Drosophila melanogaster: one gene and its partners. The protein of the gene in region 2 interacts with the protein of the main gene of each other region in a pairwise test. Each region holds a gene or a part of one and is shown on either strand. Other genes may lie near its edges.

Region 1 (3,679 bases), 3.9 Mb from region 2:
GCAAGGATACCGTCTCCAGATAGTTGGAGCCGTAAGCACGGCGCGTGAAGTCGGCCAGGTTAAACTGGATCTGGTTCCACCCCGGTGACATGCCCATCGGCATCGCCGTGCAGAAGGGCTTCACGGAGGTCTTGCTCTGGAAATTGGACACTCGGAAACGGCGCATGAAGCGCTGATCGTCTTGAATCTAAGGATATATTGTCATCATTGTGCAGTCCAGAGTTTACTATAAATTCATAGCACTTGGCCTTACCTTAACTTCGAAGCAAAAGTACTTGTGCATGTTCTTTATAAGGAGCACCAGGAAGGGCAACTTGATGCCCAGCTGCTCCTTGCATTCGCTGGGGCAGTGTATGAATGTGGTGGACACATTTGAGCCCATTATCTCGAGCACCAGGGACTTGATGTCCTCATCGTAGATCCGTTTGATATACCCGTTTTTGGTCTGTTACAAGGATGCTTTCTAGAGACGAGGCAGCTGCATTGAATGCCAGATACTCACATAGGAAGACCAGTTGTTCAGGGGCGAACTGCCTACGCTGTAAAGCACGGTAAGGAAACCTTTTTGATAGGCTGCACGATACATTGTCGGTTGTATATTTTGAAACTGTGTGTGTGGTTTCAACGATCAAACTATGGACATGTGACTGAGTTAACACAGCAAACTTAAACGAAATCTAGACTAATTGTAGAATGGATTATAGGTGACCCAGTGGGCGCGCTCCTGGTCCTTTTCGGTTTTATGGGAGGTGAAAAGGGACTTGTAAACATCGCTGGCCTTCGGGTCCTTGGCCACGCTGAAGTCGCTCTTGAGACGCTTCAGTTCGGGATCCTGCATTGCATTAACGGCGCCCAGTCGTTTGACCGGCGCCACCGCCTTGGTTTTTGTGCTTGTAGTGGGCTTCTCTGCGGCTGCAGCCTTGGATGTGGACGCCACTGGCTCCTGTTCCTCTGCGGGCTCCGCTTTCACCTCCACCTTTTTGGCACTCTTCTTGTCCTTTTTGGAGGACTTACGCTTGGCCGCACGCATTTCCATCTTGACCCGCATGAGCTCCATGTCCTCCTCGTTGCCATTGAGGACCACCACGTCCTCAACGCTATAGGCAGCCTGGCACAGCGGACAAGTGCTAGCCACACTGCCTTTGATCTGTTTCAAGGCACGCTCTGATAAAACGCATCCGCAGCTCCAAAGGGCCACAAAGCGAAATTTGCCGGACATCTCCAGGCCAATCAGCTTGCAGATGTAAGGAGAATGTCGTGTGTCCAGCAGTCCCTCAGTTTTGTCCTCCTCGGTGAAGGCGGGATTGGGTGTGGGATTAAGCTGGCGAATGTCCTTCATGCTCTTCACGTGCGCAGCTGTCTCTGGCATCGGTTCCTTCTCCAGCAGTCGCTCAATGACGCTCTGCTTGGAATAGAGCCTACCCATGCCGCACATGGCGATCGGCTCCTGGAGGCTTTGCTGGGTCAAGGTGCAGTGGCGCCAACGGAACTCCCTCTCCGCATCTTTGTCTTTCTGTAGGGTTCGAGAAATGATATTTCGGTCTGGCTAGGAGGTGCTCCAATCGAATAGACTTACCTGCTCTGGCTTTTGCTTCACGCGCACCAGCTCATCGCGCCTGGGAATAGTTCCTCCATCGCAACCCATGATTATATATTTATCTCAAGAATTACAATATATTTCCTGGGAATTCCTTGTTGGGCAAACTATAATATGCGATTTACAATGGGTTATGATATTTTTCAATTGTTTTACATTTTACACGGTATAAGTATCTTACTTACTTTAAATAAACTAACGATATAAATAACTATATATCTTCAGGTTGTAGTAAATGGAGAAATTCTGTTATGAGCAATAACAAATGTTTTATATACACAATGTCCATAGAGATGGTAAAACACCAAACAGCTGTAGCGACTGCAATGACGATTGCAAACATCGATATCATATATTCGATATAAATTTTGGTATATTACGGTGAACCAAACTCTTAGTATATCGAATTTGATTTTTAAATTTTCGAAAACTAAATTTGGAATTTGCAACATTTTAATAATAAACTCCTACTACGTGTAGTAGAAGGTAAGTAATTATTTCTCATTTTTCCTTCATATTTACTAAAATACCCAAAGACCAAAAAAATAATATTACTTGAATTTATTATCGACAGCTTTATCATAGAATTACAAACTACTGAAGACCAGCTCCTACGCATCCGTAAAGGGGCAGTGCTTGGCATACGGCACATCAATGCAAATGCAGCCTCGGGCGCTAAATCAAATATGAAATTGGTTATAAATTATATATATGGTTTTTAATAAACTTACTCATCGGGGGCATCGTTGCCTATGTGGTACTCCCTTATCAGCGAGGCGAACTCGAAGGGATTCACTTTGCCGCTCACTGGCAGCCTCTTGGATCCACTAAGATTCAGGCAGCCATTGGGACACGGTACTCCCATGAACTTATTGTGTTTAAATGTGGCAGTGGCCAAGTAGCAGATGCTCAAGAAGTGCGAACATCGCGATTTTCCTGTTTGATAGAGAGCACATTTATTTATATATGATTTCTTTTTCCGAGAAAGAGGGTATTAAACTACTTTAATTTAGCCTTACTGATTGGATTTCCTTTGCAGAACGGCTGGATGCGTCCACCGTTGACACAGTAGTTTAGATGCCCGGAGTTATCCTCCTGGCCCAGGAAACCGGCATTGGTGTGGAGCACCTGAATGACGTTGGCATCATCGATCGACAACCGAAACTTGTTGCTCTTCATGCGCTCAATTAAAGGCCGGGCGGGATCCAATCCAATGATGCGATACTGTTTCCGCGTCAGGTGGTTGCTGATCATGCCGCAGATGTGGGCGCCCAGGGAGTGACCCACGCAAGTGATCCGTTCCCGGACAGCTCCGTAGTGGGTGAGGAAGGCGTAGATCTGGGCGGTGCATTGCGCAGTTAACCTGGTGTTTATAAGCGAGTGGAGGTAGCATGGATAGCGGGTCAAAGGTCGCCAGTCCACTGTAATGACATTGAAATCGCGGGATAGGTAAGCTAAAAAGAGAGAGTTAAAGTTATATAAATTATAGCTTAATATTGTAGAATATAATAATTTAACAGATAGATGCACTCACCATCTCGAAGGAATTGCAGGTGAATATCTATGGCAGTTCCATTGAATCCGTGTATTATGAAGACAGTCTCGCGGTGCTTGCTAAATCCACCTTTATAAAGCGTTATTGGGTTCTTAACATTTAAAGGAGTTCCACGACGCGGTCCATTGCTGAAAATATTGTAAAAAGCCACTATATAATAATGGAATAGTATTTTGCAGATATCTCTGTTTTCTTTTTTGTGCATACATTTAAATAGAACTATGGAAATTCCATGTGTGTATAAAACCGTAGAAATCTCTCGTGCAGCAAGCACAGATCTGGGCATGCTAACTCTTAACTTTAGTTAATCTTGAAAGATTTTCAATTGAATATCAAGCTAGTAATAATGAAAAATTCATTTAAAGTGGATCAAATTATAGACTTTACAACTATGAGTTAAAATACATCACCAATTACAAGCCAAACGGTTTCCAGAAATTCTTAACGAGACTAAATAGTTGCAGAAAAAGCAATTTGTATTCCTTCGCGGATTTCCCAGAACGGAGGTGTCAGCCCGGTCATTTCCC
Region 2 (3,756 bases):
GATTGATTTCATACCGAATGCTAAATACGCAGACGGGATCGGGTCCCCCTCCTTAAAATTGGTTTCACGATTGCTATCGGATCGCGAAATATGTGTGTGATTACTCCACTTACGAGTGTTTCATTAACAGACCCACTCCACTCGAATCGAATCTCAATCAGCCATGAATGTTGTTTCTATATAATCGGCTACAGATTCGATTTCGATTTCGCTTTCAATTTCCCCCGAGCCCCCTTCCTTCGAGCCATCGAGCCCTCTTTGGATTTCAGTGTGTCTCAGGTGCTTTCCACTGGGGGTTTATCTGCCTCAATTGCGCGAATTGTTTATTAAAACATTATCAATATCTGTAATCCACAGTCGGATCCACTTCACGCTGTTCTACACTCGTTTCGTCTGGCTTTGGCCTTTGTCATTAGTTCCATTGACAACTGCTAATTGTGGTAAGTGTTTATTGGCCCAATTTTCGAGGCATTCGATAAGATTTGGCCCGTGTATCACTCTTCTCGTTTAATTATGCATGTATTTCCTTTATCATGGTGAGACTTCCTCTGCTTATCTAAACCGCACAAATAATGTACTTAAATGATGGGTATACTCGAGATACTGTTTCGGATAGAGGTTACACATTTTGGTAATATTTACTGCTATCATTAAGGTGTTTTTCGGCACGTTTTGATCTGGATCATTGTTTATTCTATTGCAGTGCACAGAAAAGAATTAAAGTTGAGTATTAATTCATATTAATATATAAGTTATATTACTTCGTATCAATGCAACTTCAAAAGACGGAAACTAAATTTGTATCTTTAAGTAACTGAAGTATCTAAAGTAGAGCAATATACGTGCTATATATCTGTGTATGACATGACAGAATCAAAGTTGAAACACTCATTATATGTAGATCTAATTATTCGAAACGTAGATGCAGAAACCTTCTCTTTGATTGTGATACAATGTATATAATATATAATACAATGCACAACCGTTATACGCACTGCGCATTTCCTTGGCAATGTGATTGATTTTATTGATACTGATACGGAATTAATGCGTTCTGAAACTCGTTCACAGCTTACATTAAAGGGTTAACCCGCTTGAGATGTTCGCTTAATAGCATTTAAATGATGATACAATTGGTAGCACTGCAAATTGATTTTCCTCATGCAATAAAATATTCTTATGCATTCATTTCGAGTTCATTAAGAAATCATTCACATTTCATTAATTTCGGTCAATATGCAAATGGTCAGCAAAACGTAAATAAAGTGAAATATATGAGCAAAATTAATAACAGCTCAAAGTCGCAAGCGGGTGTTTTAATCATAAACGAATGTAATTTGCATTTGCACTGTTTTGGCTGCTTTGGCATTTCGATTGGAGTCGCCATAACAAAAAAAAAAACACGTACAGCCAGAAATGTGAAATATCTTAAGTATTTACTTTATTACAGCCACTGAACTCGAAGATGGGAATGAGTGGCAAAACCTACTTTGTATTCACACGGCGGCCAGGAGGAAATTAGGCAACTTTCGTTGATGTTTCAAATCTGAAAGCACTTTGTCACTTTTCGTTGTCTTCGTGTTTTAATCTTCTTCACTTTTCTCGGAATGGCGCCAGCACTCGACTAATTAGAACTCAGTTAGTCGTTCTGCGTTGACTTTTACTTTCATATTCACAAAACGCGGACCACGGAGGCGGAAAACTGTGGCGAAGTCGAACCGCAACCTGGCCAAAAGCACGACTAAGTCGCTGCAAATTCCTGCCAGCGTTTTATAGGCACACACACACACTCACGTCTGTAAACGCGATCGGAAGAATTGAAGCGAATCGAATTGAAACCGCTCTCTTGCTCACCCATTCATTCACGCACTCACTCACTCACTTGCTCACCTACTCACTCTCCGATTTGCGAAGAATTGCCCGAAGTTATGTGGCTGTAAGTCTTATCTTCTTGTATGATCCACCCACCTGAAAATAAAGGTGGCCCAAAGCCCGCTCTTCTGGTAGAAGAGGCGTAAATCAAGGCGATCAAGCAGCCAATGGTGTAAGCCAACTATATAGCTTCATGTGGCTACTGCACTGCCGCGAGTATATCACGAACTTAAGGCCCTCTCGAGTTGTGCGACCCATAAAATGGTCAACAAAATAATTTCCTCAACGCTTCCCAGGCCATAAATTCAGTTGAGAATTTACCATTGGCAAATGCAATGTCATAACTGGTACTCTTGGCGGTGTGAAAATACATTGTTTATATGGCCCTATATGTGACACGAAAAAGTATGCAATAAAAAATATGATTGATGACCCGAGATAACGATTGGTTTTTCTTTAATTAGGCAGTCTTGAGAAGCTCAATCAATCGGAAATCGAAAGCGCTTGATGGCTTTATGGCCACGTTAATCAATTCGTATTGATATGGTCGCGACGTTTCGTTTGCCCATCGTTTGATGAACTTTAGAGGGGATTTGGTAATTGAGTCACATTGAATGCATGGCGGTGGAAAAGTCAATTAGTTAATTGGCGGTCTAATTGACTTGACTTTACAGTGCTCGTCATGCGTATCAATAATACAAATAGCTTCTAAATATCTAAATACTTGCCCAAATATTATATTAGATTAATCATTTGGCGTAAACAAACACCGATAAAGATGTCACTTTGTTTATTTACCATTTGCATAAAACCCAAATGTATGATTTTCGTTTATTTACCTTACCGAATTTCAACTGACAAATCGCGATACACACAAAACTGATAAACGTGTTCTCTCGCAGACAATGAATAGTATTCCTTTTGATATCTGCGCCATAAACCGTGCTTATGTGTCCATAAACTCCTCAAAGATTTCCACTGCGATTCACCTGGGTAAACTAACTTTGATTAGTGCAATATAAGTACATGATATGCGGTATTTGGGGAAAACAATGTTATAATGAAATCAAATAGTGCAAATAGTGCTTACAATTGATAATTTGGTTAAAATGATTATTGTTATTTTTAGCCAGAGATTAATTTGATATTTCTGACATTGCCCGCATAAAGGTATGCCGGCATAGCATTAAAATTGATTTCACTGCTGCCATTTAATATTTATTGTAAATTTGTTTATCTAATTTCCGGCAATATATTTACCTACTTTCTATCTATGTGCATATTGTTTTCGCAACTCATACCAATTTGCAGCCAAAACGGCAAATGGCCGAATCGAATTCAATTCAAACAATCCGCAAAATTGCAGAAATGTATGAACTTTTCGGATGAAACTTCTCTAATTATTTGAGTGGCAAACGGCCAATGTAAAATGCGTCATGACATCGAGGTGGCTGATGAAAATGCGGCTGGGTCAGGGATTCGTGCGGGGTCTCCATAAATTAACTTTGCCAAAATTACAAACATTTTCCCATTTCCCCCATTAAAACCCAAATCACGGTGCCACACACCAGCGCATACATACATACATACATACATACCCGTGTTGGCTGGACGGGAGTGTAGCAATTTCAATTAAAGCTAATTACAACCAATATCGACTGCCAACAATGTCAAGCATCAAATGCGACGAAGCCACCCAAAAGGAGCCAGCTCGATTGGATGGCTGGCTGCTGGCTGGCTGGCTGGCTGGCTGACTGGTTGGTTGGATGGAAGCCCGGCTAGTGTCATGTCTGGGTCGTGCACTGCGAGAAATTGCGGTGATCCGCTCACAAGGTGTCACTCAGTGTCGCCAAAGGTCCTGCCTGTGGGCGACGGTAAGTCCTG
Region 3 (3,756 bases), on a different chromosome or scaffold from region 2:
TTTGGCGGGCGTTACTGCGACTGCGGTGGGAGATGAATGTCGCTTTTGCGCAGTTGGGCGCGAACTTTCCTTGGAATTCGAGGTGTCCGAAGATCTGTGATCATGCTTAGATTTCTCCTTCCTCCTGGACTTCTCCTCCTTCGAATGCGATCTTTCCTCTTTTCGTAATTGCTCTTTCTCTTCTTTGGCTGTGGATTTTTCTCTGGAGGACGAATTGTGCTCCTTTGCCGGTGGTTTGTCTTCTTTGCTGATTGACTTATCCAAGGAGTGCCTGCTTGACTTTTTCTTTCTGCTCTCCCTCTCCTTTTCCTGCTCCAATCGCCGTCGATCCTTGTCCGCCTCCAGATGCTTGCTCAGCCGTTGTTTCTTTGCATTGACCTCAGCGTCCTTCACGTCCTCATCATCGTCGCCGAACAAGAGTGAAGCTCGATTGCGATCCAGGGGCTTGGCATCCAATGGCGTCGGAGAAACCGATCGCAGAGCATTGAGAACTGGTGATGGCGACGTCGAGGTTTTGGGCGATGCAGCCAGGCTAGAAACCTTGCCAGCGCTCAGCCTTCGCAGGGCCGTGGAGCCGGCGTCCCGAATGGCCGCTGCTGTGGAGGTCGCACTGATCGCGGGCGACTTGTGCTGCGTCTGCTTCTTCCAGCTGTGAAATCTGTTCACTTGATTGTCCGTTTCCGAGTCCGGCGACTCCTCGCGCAGCTTAAAGGTCCCGAATTGCATAACACCCTGCGGCACTAGGGATTTGACCTTAGGCGCCGCAGCAGCCACTACATGCACCTTGACGAATGAGAGCCCGTATGGCACATGACGATTGAAGGGCTGTGTGCAGACTATCTGAAGCAGCTTCCACTTCTCCGGCAGTGCACTCTCCGCCAGCGAAGTGCTACTGAAACAGCGAACGCGATTTGGATTGCTGGAATTCTTGCTCTCGATGGGCGTCATAAACGAACTGGATAGCAGCAGCTCGCGGAAATCGTCCGCCTGGCAGCCTGTTCGACTGACCAGCACCTCGATGAAGGCGGCATGTTCGTTGCCAATATCGATGCCCGTAATCTGTTGCGGCTCCTCGAACTCCAGCACAACGTATGCGGATTTCTCTCCCGGCGCCTTGGTTCGCCACTTCTTGCCGGCGTTTTCCTTGAGCAGATTCGCCGCTACGTGCACCTGGCCAGCGGGATTGCATAGTTATATAGATGTACATTTGTTATATAGGAGCATTACTCACCGCATCTTCGCTGCTCACTTCGCGTACGGACTTGAAAAGCGCAATTGGCATTTCGCAAGTCGCATGAATTTACACTGAGACGCCGATGATTTTGCGGCAAATTGCTTTGCCGACAGTTGCGCCTGCGATTAAACTGATTGTCGAAAGGGAATTGCGTCGGTTGCATGTGTTGCCATGTGCGCTAGAATGTTTGTTTATTTCTTTTATCTTTTGATGATGGGCGGTGAATTATGCTGATTTTGCTTAACCAACTATTTCAAAAATAAAACCTGTATTGTGTGCACTAATTGCCCATCACTAGCTGTGCTGACAGCCTAGCTGGATATCGCTAAATATGGTCTCTTCGTCACCATATCAAAATACTAGCTAGTTAATTGGTTAACCAACACTGGTCACTTCAATTCAACTTTATTTCATTACGTTTATTAAGAAAATGCTAAAGATCTGTTTTGTTTGCAAAGGTTATTATAATTATATTATATTATATTATTCATTATATTCATTATATTATATTATATTATTCAAGAGATTAAATCGCCAAAGTGGCAGCGCTGGTGAAAAGCAAAAAAAAGGTGAAAGTTTTGAAATGATAAATTTGCACATAGAGATGAGCAGTGATTGCAAACGGTGACAAGAAACAAGATAAATATTTAGTAATATATAAAAATAATAACAAACCGTTAAGAAAAGCTAACGAACAGTATGACTGCGCTAATTTATTATATTTAAAAACAAATGATTGTTTATTAGCAAATACTATCGCATTAAATGGTGACTGGCGATAATAACGGTAACTGCAAGCAGTGAACAACTATCGCCCTTCCCTGATTCCCCTTGTCAATGTCGCTGGCAAATAAATAAATAAATATCAACAAAATACAGAATGAGCGCGGATGCGAGAATCAAGCAGATGGCGCCATCGCTGGACACCACCGAACGGGAGAGGGAGCACCAGAACGTGGATGCCACCAACTCGAACTCGGAGCCCAGTGCCAGCGATTGGGTGAACTTCTCGCAATGGATGCACTGCTTCTGCGTGGTCACCTTCGATCTAAATCTTGGGCAGGCGCTGGAGCACGTCTATCCGCCGGCTTTCATGCCCAGCGACCAGGAGGTTAGCAACATTTGCTACATGGCCTTCCCGGACTCAAATTCCGGCTGCATGGGCGACACCAAGTTCCACATGCGATTGCGCTGCACAACGCGTCGGGATTCCTTGCCGGGCTACAATGCGGAATGCTCGCCGGCGCTGCGACAGGATGGCTCCCACTACTGGGGCTTCGTCTACTTTCGCCAGAAGCGGGACGCGAATCTGCCGCGTGGTTACTTCCAGAAGAGCTTTATAATCATTACACGACTGCCGTTCTTCAATCTGTACTACGACATACTCTCCCAGCTGGCGCCGCGCTACTTTGAGGAGGGCACCGACGTCCTGCGTCTGGCCAGCGAGCAAATTAATCGCCAGTGGCCCGGCCTGCGAGTGGGTAAGCCGCTCCAGCTGCCTCTGCTGGATTGCAGCTATCAGATCTGCATACCGCGGACCAGCAGCAGTCGAAAGTCGACGGCCGATGGAGGCATCGCAGGTGGTGCGGTGGAATCGCCACCAGCCATGGCTGCTTGCCCGGCAGCCAAAGTGCTGGCCTCCGTTAATGAAATCGAACTCTTCCGCTCCCTGGACTTTGTCATGGAGCAACTGTACACGCTGTGGGAGCTGGTCATCACCGCCGAGCCCATTGTTGTCGTTGGCACCTCACCCGCCGACTGCTCCCACATGGTGCAGACCCTTCTGGCCATGATTGCTCCGCTGGAGTATTGCGCCGAGGCGCGTCCCTACTTCACCATTCACGACAGCGAATTTCGCGAATTCACACAAGAGTGCAGCAGCAAGACCACACTGCCCGCCTGCATTTTGGGCGTCACGAATCCGTTCTTTGTGAAGCTCCTGAAGGATTGGCCGCACATGCTGCGACTGGTGGACAACCAGGTGAGTGTCCCAATCCCAGTTAACGCAATACAAAATATATCCGTCTTGCTCGTTTTCAGAAGAACATGCAGCAGCAACAGCATCTGCTGCTGGGCCAAAAACACGCAAGGAACATCGCATCGGCCACATCATTTTCCAGTTCAACGGAACTCGGTGGCCGTATAGCACTGAAATCGAACACCAATCTCAATGGCAGCTCCAGTTCCAGCAATGGCTCGGGCGATGCCTCGTCCGCGGGCCTGCACAGTAAATATAGGCCGTACCTGAAAAAGGACAAGGCGCTGATCAAAAAGGTGCTGCTGGGCATGAAGACCAAGCGGCCGGAGCATGTGCAAACCGCACTGATACGACGCCATCTGCTCGAGCTGACGCAAAGCTTTATGATACCACTGGAACGGTATATGGCATCACTGATGCCGCTGCAAAAGGACATCAGTCCGTTTAAGTCGGCGCCGAATGCCAACAGCTTTAAGCTGGATGACTTTCTGGGCACGCTGGAAACCGCTGGGCCGCAGCTAACGTCGCCGCTGAAGGGCGACTG

Evidence for each region.
Region 1: the proteins of Nha1 (region 2) and CG6443 interact in a two-hybrid assay, tested with the Drosophila melanogaster proteins (one large-scale study listed by BioGRID).
Region 3: the proteins of Nha1 (region 2) and CG3309 interact in a two-hybrid assay, tested with the Drosophila melanogaster proteins (one large-scale study listed by BioGRID).

Annotation. Positions count from the first base shown.
Region 1 is NT_033779.5:10,727,206-10,730,884, reverse strand, and holds CG6443 (uncharacterized protein), read right to left. Parts: upstream 1,908-3,679; 5' UTR 1,783-1,907; intron 1,705-1,782; 5' UTR 1,646-1,704; coding exon 1,577-1,645; intron 1,514-1,576; coding exon 683-1,513; 3' UTR 587-682; downstream 1-586. Other genes in the region: CG17118 (uncharacterized protein), read right to left, coding at 1-187, 254-445, 503-586; CG6431 (uncharacterized protein), read right to left, coding at 2,209-2,272, 2,329-2,533, 2,617-3,051, 3,132-3,280.
Region 2 is NT_033779.5:6,868,645-6,872,400, forward strand, and holds the start of Nha1 (Na[+]/H[+] hydrogen antiporter 1), read right to left. Parts: upstream 1,746-3,756; 5' UTR 1,490-1,745; intron 1-1,489.
Region 3 is NC_004354.4:5,327,628-5,331,383, reverse strand, and holds the start of CG3309 (uncharacterized protein), read left to right. Parts: upstream 1-2,036; 5' UTR 2,037-2,114; coding exon 2,115-3,215; intron 3,216-3,274; coding exon 3,275-3,756. Other genes in the region: XRCC1, read right to left, coding at 1-1,170, 1,232-1,282.